Linked DNA regions of Neurospora crassa OR74A. The protein of the gene in region 2 interacts with the protein of the main gene of each other region in a pairwise test. Links are inferred from orthologs where the notes say so. Each region holds a gene or a part of one and is shown on either strand. Other genes may lie near its edges.

The links. The genes of interacting proteins can lie anywhere in the genome.
Region 1: the proteins of NCU09894 (region 2) and NCU07795 interact in binary tests that used the Saccharomyces cerevisiae proteins (3 or more experiments, as listed by UniProt). The link is inferred for Neurospora crassa OR74A from reciprocal best matches to the Saccharomyces cerevisiae genes MAK21 and RRP15.

The regions. Positions count from the first base shown.
Region 1 is NC_026505.1:268,162-272,855, forward strand, and holds NCU07795 (DUF1665 domain-containing protein), read left to right. Parts: upstream 1-1,839; 5' UTR 1,840-2,008; coding exon 2,009-3,034; 3' UTR 3,035-3,212; downstream 3,213-4,694. Other genes in the region: NCU07794 (2Fe-2S iron-sulfur cluster binding domain-containing protein), read right to left, coding at 3,474-3,819, 3,903-4,132. UniProt on the Saccharomyces cerevisiae protein: Constituent of pre-60S ribosomal particles. Required for large subunit rRNA maturation, in particular processing of the 27S pre-rRNA at the A3 and B1 sites to yield 5.8S and 25S rRNA.
Region 2 is NC_026501.1:3,984,758-3,990,647, forward strand, and holds NCU09894 (CCAAT-box-binding transcription factor), read left to right. Parts: upstream 1-2,129; 5' UTR 2,130-2,134; coding exon 2,135-2,941; intron 2,942-2,998; coding exon 2,999-4,675; intron 4,676-4,737; coding exon 4,738-5,535; 3' UTR 5,536-5,871; downstream 5,872-5,890.

The sequences.
Region 1 (4,694 bases), on a different chromosome or scaffold from region 2:
AGTAGGTACCTTTTGCGAGTTTTGTATTCCGCATTTGTGCGATAATGAACAAGTAGACAAGATAATGATGTCTTTCTGGCTTCTTCAAGTGTTCTGGCTTTTGATCGGGATGGATTTTGAGCCAATACAGCGTGTACTTATGACCTTGCCGCTACAGTCGTTGGGACCGAGACGTTCGGGGTCTCAAGTCAAAATTGTGGCGTATGATGGAAGATGAGCAATGGTTTCAGCTTTTTTCCCTCAAGACTTCTTGGGCTGCAAATAAACACCCGATGAACTAATCGTCGGGTGTTGTAAATAGTTTGGACCCATTCCTAGAAATCGGGCGGGTAAGGCAAGTCACGGTCCGTCTTGAAGGAACATGTCCAAACTTCCAGAATCTGTCAGCAACAGAGTGTGGCATCGCACTGGTAGCTTCCTTACCTATTCACAATTAGTGATTTCTTGGCGCTGTATGCACGATGCGTTAGTAGCAATGATATTTACATATTTCCTGGTCACGGGAAAATAAAAGATCACGTACTAGTAGTTTGGGCCTGATTCTTTGGCGGGTCTGAACACCAGTCAGCAATCCGAAACCAGAGGCGAATAGAATGCATTGACTTAGCTCAGGTATGAAGATTGATCTTCACGATACTTCCGTATCGGACTTGCTTCTCGGATATCATGACGAACCCGTAACCGTGTGCTGATATCCCACCTTTTCACTTGGCGTTGTTCCATCTCTGGAAATGAACAAGTTCATGACGTGCTTTGCTTCTACAGCTCACATCGAACTGCTTCTGCTCCATGGCAATGGTGTTTTATGAGACCGTGACCCAATCACTTACACGCAAAGTTGGGAGAAGCGACCTAGCGACAGGAAGGTGCGAAGCTCAAAGTTCAGGACCTGAGGGCACCGATCCAATACTCTTCCTCCAATCGCTCACCCACGTGTCACTACCTACTAGTAAATGGCGCGAGATGGCAGGCAGTAGCAGCTTGGATGCTCCACGGATTTCTAATACATCGAACCTGGTCACTCCGTCAGGAAAACCTGGCTCGGGAAAGTAGGGAGGTACATGTACTGTAACTGCAGAAGCGTGCCTCTTGGATGGCAGAAGCTGTGTTCTGTAGAGGAAGGTATGTACAGCAAGATAAGAGGTATCGTGCATGGAGCCGTAGCGATCGATGTAATGCGAACCAATTCAACGGTGGCAGTCGGATTCATCTAGGTTCCGCTTGCGTATGTCCAACGTGAATTAACCTGTAAAACCCGGAATTGACGTGCATTACTTACCTAATCGAGCTCAGGTATATCGTCATGCATCGTTCGACTGTAAATGATGTTCAAAAGTTTCAACATTCAATTGGTCGCCGAAGTGCAACATGCTCAGACAAAGGTCTGTACATTATGCCGACCGCTGTTCATCGAGGTGCTCAGGTTCGGTCCAGGGGCAGATCAACTTTGTTAGGTCTCGTCGCTGCCGCCCGTTTGTGAGTAACGTGTCCTGAGACCATATGCTTGAGATCGTATCGATCCAAAGCGCGAAATGTGAAACACGTAGACAATTTCATACTGTTCGATAATGTCAATGTCGAGTTGTCATGGGAAGAGGTTGTCGTCGAATTGAGCCGTTGAAGTCACGGCTTACTAGGGTTAGGGGTGATTCTGATGACGGCAGAGCGGGTCCACCGTTCATCCCCGCTGGGCTGCCCTTGGTTCCACCAAGTGTGGGGTTGACGCAAGACAGGGACAGGGACGCAGGGCATATTGCCGGCCGCGACCGCCAAAAATTTCTGAGTGGAGAGCACCTCAGCAATTGGGAAGTTTCGAATGGAGGGACCTGCACTCCGAACCTCGACCATCTCGGCAGCACCTCCAATCCGCGATAAACAATTCTGCCCGTATTTCTCCCCCTCGGCTTGATCAGCTGGCAAATCGATCCCAAACACAACCACTATTCCATCTGCTTAATTCACATACAACCTACATCCAATCAAACCAGACACACACACAATCACAACCATGGGCATCACCAAGCGCAAAGAAGGCCCCAGCAGCAAGGGCAAGCCCGTCCGACCGTCCAAGAAGCAGAAGGCGCAAGCATTGGCCGCCTACCACAGCAGTTCAGAGGAGGAATCCGACAACGAGCAGCAAGATGTTGAAGACCAAAGCGACGAGGAGGCCGGCACCTCCGCCGTTCCCGCCCACCTCCTCGACTCGGACGACGAAGACCTAGACAACCTCGTTGCCGACGATGGCGCATCCACAGACGAAGAGCAAGCATCCGACTCTGATGATTCCGAAGCCGAACAACCATCAAACAAGTCCTCCAAGAAGTCGCAAACAAAACCCAAATTCGTCGCCAAAGACGCCCCAGATTCCGAAGACGACGAGGACGACTCCCTAGACGGCGGTTCCGACCTGGGCTCCGACCTCGACGATGAATTCGACCTCGACGGCTCGGGTGATGAGAACGGCAACAGGAGACAAACCAAATCCAAGCGCAACGATCCCGACGCCTTCGCCACCTCCATCACCAAAATGCTTTCCTCCAAGCTGCCCGCCTCGCGACGCGCCGACCCCATTGTCGCGCGCTCCGCCGAGTCTGCAGCCGCCGCCAAGTCCCTGGTCGACGCAGCGCTCGAAGCCAAGGCGCGCAAGCGTTTGCGCGAGCAGAAGCGTCTGGCCTTTGAGAAGGGTCGGGTGCGTGATGTGTTGGTCCCTAGCAAGACTAGGACGCTCAACATCCAGACGGGCGAGATCGAGGAGATTCCGGATGGAAAGGAGGGCGAGCAGACGACGGGTCAGATTCTGGAGACGGAGAGGAGGCTGAAGAAGACGGCGCAGAGGGGTGTGGTGAAGCTGTTTAATGCGGTTAGGGCGGCGCAGGTCAAGGCGCAAGAGGCGGAACGGGCGGCGAGGCAGGAGGGAATCGTGGGTGTGAAGAGGAGGGAAGAGAAGGTTACGGAGATGTCGAGGAAAGGGTTCTTGGACTTGATTGCGAGCGGTGGTGGGGGGTTGAAGAAGGGTGGCTTGGAGGAGGCTTAAGGGAATTGCATTCTGGTGTAGAGGGGTGATTGTTTATTGTGTTTGCATATTGTCAAGGTCTAGGCTATTTTCTTATATACAACCCCGTGCCCTTGATCTGGGGCAAACAGTTGAACAACGTACAAGCCCCATGCAGAAGTATGAACAGTCAACATGCTCTTGCCAATCCGTCATATCCATCAACATGAACATTGCCCATCACAGATATCCGATAAACTCTGCGCTGAACGCCGTCGCCTCAACAATCCGACAGAAATGGAATAGATGTCGTGTTTGTGCCATATATATTCCGTCGTCCGTCTCCATTTTTCTTTACACCACAGTGAATCCCCTGCCCCTTCACCTCTACCTTCTTCTTCTTCTTCCTCCATGCTCAACCCTTCATCGCCTGATATTACCTCCCCCCAATCCCATGTCATTCATTCCATGACGGCACGGTCTAGGACTTGAAATCACTAGCCTGCAAATTCCTCGTCATGCTCGGCAACTTGACCACCAACCCATCCAACTCCTTGGTCATGTGCACCTGGCACCCCAGCCGGCTCGTCTCGGTGAGTCCAAACGCCAAGTCCAACATGTCGTTCTCGTCGTCGTCGGGCTCCGGCATCCGGTCGTACATGTCCTGGTCCTGCACAATGACGTGGCAGGTCGAGCACGCGCAGGAACCGCCGCAGGCGCCTTCCATTTCGAGGTCGTGCGCTTGGGCAATGTCGAGCAGGTTGTCGCCTTCGGAGACGGCGAGGCGGTGGGTTTGGTTGTCTTTGTCGATGAATGTTACGTAGAGTCTGTGTGCCGCCGCGAACAAATTGCTAGTTAGTGGTTGTGGGAGACTGGTGAGGGACAAGAAGGGGAATGCGCTCAAACTGACTCTTCGCCGGGCTTGGGAGGGTCGACGTGGCCGTGCTGGAGAGCGGAAGAGGTGGAAAGCGAACGGCGCGCAGAAGCGGAAGCAGAAGCAGAAAGCTGTGTCGTCGTCGACCACGCGGTAGGCAGACGCTGCGGTTGTGTTCGGAGAGGTGCGGTGGTGGTCTTGCTGTAGCACCGGGCATGCTGTGCGAGCCTTTGGAGGCTCTGCCTAAGAACTCGCGGGGTCGACATTGTGTATTGTATGGGCGCAACACCGGATCGTAAAGGGTGTCCAAAGCGTTATCAAAGAAAACAATGAAGTCGAGAAAGTTGTTTGGTTGACTGGGAGTTGCCGCGAGATTATGGAGATGGAATCCCAGATCCAATGCGGCGCGCGCGGGAACGGAGTCGTTGGAAGTGGAGGAGACACTTTTTGGACCTGGACCTGAATGGCAATCGGCACCAGGAGTAGCAAGAGATGACTGGGATGGGGATTCAAACGAATAAAAAAATGGAGAATTATCAATTAACGATATACATACACGCCGATCGAAGCTGACACTTCGGCGTAGGTAAGAAAAAAAAAAAAAAGTAGAGACCTTCAAAATGTTACAAGCCAATGGTTGTCCATGGTTGGAATCCCTTCACTTTCCCAATGTACTCGGATCTGAGTATTCAGCTGCAATCCATGACAAACACCAAGCGCCTTCAATGTCCGACAAAGAAACGCGATTCGCAACCCAACTTGGAGGACTTAGCAATCACAAGACGACATCAGAAGGAAGAAATGTGATCCATCATACATGTAAATGTT
Region 2 (5,890 bases):
CGATTATTCAAGCTCTTTACAAGGCCTACCTGCGTGTATACCTCGTAGATCCTTTACAGAGAAATCCTTAAGATAGTTTATTTTAATTAGAGCGTCGCTATTAGTCTTAAGTATAGAGGTAATTTCATTATAAAAGCTTTACTTATAATATTACTTTTTAAATAAATAGTACTATTTGAGCCCAAAGATAAGTATTGCGTTTGGGTTAGTAGGAGTATTATTGTAGGCTTTAGGGTATTGGAGCTATATCTGCTTTGCTTTCTCTTATAAAAGTTCAACTATAGTACTTAGACTACGAATTTCGAGCTCTAATTGCACACGAAAGAATATTATTCTAAAAACTAGCCAATTACTATTCTTTGGGTGAATTTTCTTGAAATATTATAAGGAGGAATCAATATTTACGAGATAGGTAGGGTTTTTATTCTTATTAAAATAGTAAAATATAATATAGTTTGGTAGTAATACATTTTACTTTCTTTGAATTTATTAAGTCAATTGAGTAAGACTTAAGCGGTAAGGCTAGTTGTTTGCCTATTTAAAATTTAAAACGCTACTCCTAAGTAAGGGTATTATAATATTAGGTAATTATAGTCAGTATTGTTGCGTAGAGTAATTTAATTGCTAATAAAATGTATAAGGTTGATAGTTGTTTATAAATAGAAAGGGTAAAATGAAGGGATGTACTAGTATGAGGGTAAAAGAGTAAAGGGGGGAAAGAATAAGGAGAATCCTTTAGAAATTGGGCAGCTAGCTATACTATTTGGAGGGTTTCTAGTACCCCTAACAGCTCTAATAAGGGGTATTAGGTACATTTGACACCCCTTATTAGCTCCCTCGAGGGGTCCCTGGCAATTGTAAATTTATATAGCGAGCCGGCTAACGGCTAGCACTTAGCAGCTAGTAGGTATACTATACTAAAATAATACATATAGTGAAATTCCTAGTATTTGTTAAGTATTTGCATTTATTAGGTCTAGCATTTACGAGGCACATTACTATAAATAGAAGTGTCCGGTGAGTGGGATTCATTAGTAAATCCAATATATACCCCACGGGCACTAAACTCCTAGTTGTAGGTCCTTCTACAAGTTAATACTAGTTTGTTTGTTAGTTTGGTTCTTTAGCTATACGTTGAATAGGAGAAATTGTTTAAAGCTTCTATTAGCCTTTAAAGAGAGAAAAGGGCCTCTGTTGGAAGCGTTATATAATAATAGCCAGGGTGGAAAATGCTATGGAAGCCTTCTTATACCCCTCTTTGTCTCATTTAGGACCTCCAAGACTGGAAGATATGAGAGAGTAGTCCCCTTTTAGTACCTGTCTGAATGAGGTTCAAACGTTTTTCCTACCCTCGACATTTGGTAGCTGGCTCTAGAGTAGAAATTGGCTTTTTTTTAGTACTAAACCTACAAACACACTAAAGTTAGATTGTACAATTCAATTCTAAATCAAATATTGAAAAAGTTTAATTGTACGGTCAATATTATCTATCCGTACGGTAATGAAAAATAGACTTTCATATTCTTTTTCTAACTTAATAGAGTTTAGTATTAACTTACCAAAATGCATTATATTTTTTCTGATCTTTTACTCTATCTAACACTCTTTTTGGAGTGACCAGACCTACCTAGTAGCCCTAGGAAACTCTCAAAGAAGATAGCTATTATAAATAAATAATTAATAAGATTTTAGATGAAAAAGGCTTAAGGGGTAGTTTTTCCATGATGCTTAGGGATATAGATTTGGTACCTACCTTAAAAAATTCCTCAAAAATGAACGAATAGTTTGGTGCCACTTTCAGTTTCATTAGTCTCCGTTTTACTAAGTTATACTTAATAAAGCAAAAGTAGACCACCGTACGGATAGACAATATTAACTGTACGATTAGACTTTCTCCAAATATTACCCAGCGTAGGACTTAACACTTTTAGCACTATTTCAGGCTTGCATCGCCAAACTCCACCGAATGAAACTTGATAAGAAAAAGTGTCAATCGAAGTACCGCGCCAATGATGAACCAGCCGAGGTTTGGAGAGTACTGCATAGTACATAGAGATTTGTCAGTGTACTGTGTACATCTGTACCTCCACTTGCTCCACTCTTCCTGCAAGACGCACGAGGGTCCGCTAGGTGCATGATCCAAGCATTTTTTTTTCCAACCCTTCCTCGTAGATGGTTTATTTTGCATCACCAACAGCCAACCTCGAGACACATTGTGCCGGCCCGCTGTCCATTGATTTCGGCAACGACGGATTTAGGAGATATGGGCTCATCCAAGTCACCGAGGCAAAGAAAGAGGAAAGGCATGGGGCCGGCTTTCGACGAAGCAGCAGCACTTGCTCAACTGACCGAAAAGATCGACCAAACTCTCGCTGGCGTCGGCACTGACCAACACGCGTCACCAAATCGCAAGAGACCGAACACCACAGCTGATGATCGAGATGCAAAGAGGCGCCAGAAATCTCTACTGGGCACTGAAGAAGGACAAGAGGACCGTTCCAGCAAAGACCAGTCCCACAATGCAACAAAGGAGGTTCTGCTGGAGGAAATTTTGGCCTTGGGCGGAGACGAGGATGATCTTGAGCTTGTCGCCAATGTTGATTCCGACAATGAAGAGGGACCTGGCATGAAATCTGCGTCGGCGCCCGAAAAATCCCTGGATAAGTCATTTCATGAGGAACTGACAAAGTTCGCCTTGAGCCTGGGCTTCCAGAACATACCCCGCGAGGATGACCTTGAAAGCGTGTCGTCTGAAAACCCCGTCGACGAGGAACAAGACGAAGAAGACGACGAAGAAGAGGACGACGACGCGGAACAAACAAAACAGGATGACAGCCAGGATCAGGAACAGCCTCTAGCCATTTCTGCCACAGTAAAAAGTGAGAGCACAACTACGACCGCCCAAGACACCCTGCGCGGGAAGAAAGGCAAGAACAAGCTGGTTAGTTCGACGCTCTCGCTGCCGCAGACTTACCTGGCGGTATGCTAACTTGAGTAGGGTTTTGAGCCCAGACCTGACTGGCATGCTCTCGACCTCGAGGGCCTACCTGCCTTCACACCATCTGCCGACGTTAGGCAATATTCTTCAGCGATTGCCAACCTCAAAGCTTACGCGGACGCTCTCTTGAAGGAGGACGCGGCAAGATACAACGCCCTCCAGGCCTCCAGCTCCACTCAGAAGTTCATGTCGACCATTATGTCTTCCGGCACCTTATCCGACAAGGTATCTGCCTTAACCTTGTCGATACAAGAGTCTCCTCTCCACAACCAGAAAGCCTTTGAAACCCTGATCGGGTTGGCCGGCAAGAAAAGCCGTAGTCAGGCACTCGCTGCCCTGGGCGCTCTAGTGGATCTGCTGGGCAATGGCACAGTTCTGCCAAGTAATCGCCGGCTTCGTCCGTTCAACATGCAACCCGCCTTGCTGGCCGCTTTACAAGATCAAGCTGTGCTGCATTGGGTTCAGGGCCAGAAGCTCCCAGCCAAGCTAACTGATTCTTACCTGATGATGTGGGCATACGAGGATTGGCTCAAAGCAGCGTATTTTCGCATTGTCCAGCTCCTCGAAATCTGGTCGACTGATCAGATTGAGCATTCGAGAATGCGCGCGCTGGAATTTGTTTTCACATTGCTCCGGGACAAGCCGGAACAAGAGGCCAATTTGTTGCGACTTCTTGTTAACAAACTCGGTGATCGCGAACGGAAAATTGCATCTCGGGCGTCATACCTCCTCTTGCAGTTGCTCAACATTCACCCTGCGATGAAAAGCATTGTCATCAGCACGGTAGAGCAAGAGGTTTTGCTCAAGCCAGGCCAAGGTCTGCGCACCAAATACTACGCCATCATCACCCTGAATCAAACCATCTTGAGCACCAAAGAGCCCGCTATAGCCAACACGCTACTCCGAATCTACTTCGAGGCTTTCCTTTCCCTCCTCAAAACTGGCTCATTGGGAAACCTGGAAGCGCTAAATTCCGAGGACAAATCTGGCGGCAGCAACAGGAAAGCTAAGAAGGGCAAGCGAAATCACACCGAGGCTTCTGCCAACGAGCAGGATACGACACAAAAACTCGTATCCGCACTGCTTACTGGTGTCAATCGTGCGGTACCCTTCACTACCGCCGACGATGAGACCATGGAAAAACATCTCGATACCTTGTTTCGCATCACGCACTCGTCGAACTTCAACACCAGCGTGCAAGCACTCATGCTCATTCAACAGCTCGCCGTGACCAAACATCTCGCTGTTGACCGATTTTATCGGACATTGTACGAATCATTATTGGATCCCAGACTCATCACGTCATCGAAGCAAGCATTGTACATGAATCTACTTTTTCGAGCCCTGAAGAATGATGCCGACGTGCGGAGAGTGAAGGCTTTTGTCAAGAGATTGGTTCAGGTGCTTAACCTGCATCAGCCGTCCTTCGCATGCGGGGTGCTATATCTGATTTCCGAGCTGGAGAACATGTTTCCTGACCTTCATTCGTTGCTTACTGTTCCCGAGGAGAATGAAGATGATGGCGTGGAGGCTTACAAGGATGTCAATGATGATGCGGCTCTGCAGCGCAGTCTCTTGCGTGAAGACGCACCAACTTCCCGTCGTGCCACAGGATATGATGGACGAAAGAGAAATCCCGAGCATAGCAATGCGCACAGAAGCTGCTTGTGGGAATTGGTAAGTGCCTATTTGAACTCTGATTGCATGTGAAACCAGTTTACTAACCTCAAAACCACCAGGCTCCTCTTCTATCTCATTTCCATCCATCCGTACACGTTTATGCCAGTAACCTTCTCGTCCGTCAAAAGGGCCTGCCGAAGCCGGATTTGGCCAACCACAGCCTCATGCATTTCCTGGACAAGTTTGTCTACCGCAACCCCAAGATTACCGAGACCAAGCGCGGAAGCTCAATCATGCAGCCGGTCCTCGCTACTGGTGGCGCCTCCCAAACTGTCGTGTCCAGCAAAGATGGCGCCAAGAAGCAGCCTTCCGTCAACTCGGCCTCATTTTGGAATCTCAAACCAGGTCAGGTTTCCGCCGAAGATGTTTTCTTCCATGAGTATTTTGCTCGCATCGGCAAGCCTGGAGACATGGCAAAGAGCAAGAAAGCATCCAAGGAGAACAGTGGTCTGGACGGCGAAGAACAAGAGGAAGAAGGCGAAGACGAGATCTGGGAAGCATTGGTCAATTCTCGACCCGAGGTTGAGGGTGAGCTGGATGAAGACGAATCCGACCTCGGAATGGATGGATATGACGACTCAGACGAGGAGATGGACACTGTCGGCTTTGATATGGATGGCCCTCGCGAGGACTTCGAGGGATCTGACAGTGATGTGCCCTTTGAAGGCATTTTTGATGATTCGGATGACTCGGAAGAGGAAGCGGTGGTGGATGAGAGCGCTGGCGAGGAGGATGCTTCGACGGCAAAGAAGAAGGGCAGACTTAGCAGGAAGGAGATGAGGGGTCTGCCAACATTTGCCTCGGCCGATGATTACGCTGAGATGCTGGCTGGTGAGGATGGCATGGCCGACGATTAGTGCAGTTGGGCAAAGCGTTTCGATTTGTGGGCGAAAAGCTAGTTAGCCTGTAGCTCTCGTAACCTGGTTGGCTAAAGATCCTTCCCCTGTTGACTATGGTGAGATGGGTAAGTCCAACCCGTGGATTGACGTTGTACACACAGTGCCCACGAAGCTTTGGCTTTGGTGGTTGGTGTCAGATACCTGACAGGGAGGTAAAACTTTTGCTCGCAACCGCAGGACATTCGCCTACATGCCCTACCAAAGATGTTTGTTCGCCTCCTTGCTCAAGAAGGCAATGATTCCAGTATTTGCTACAATGACTGGAGTAGCCATGATGTTTCTGATGCTTGCTCGTGATAGAATGCTACTACAT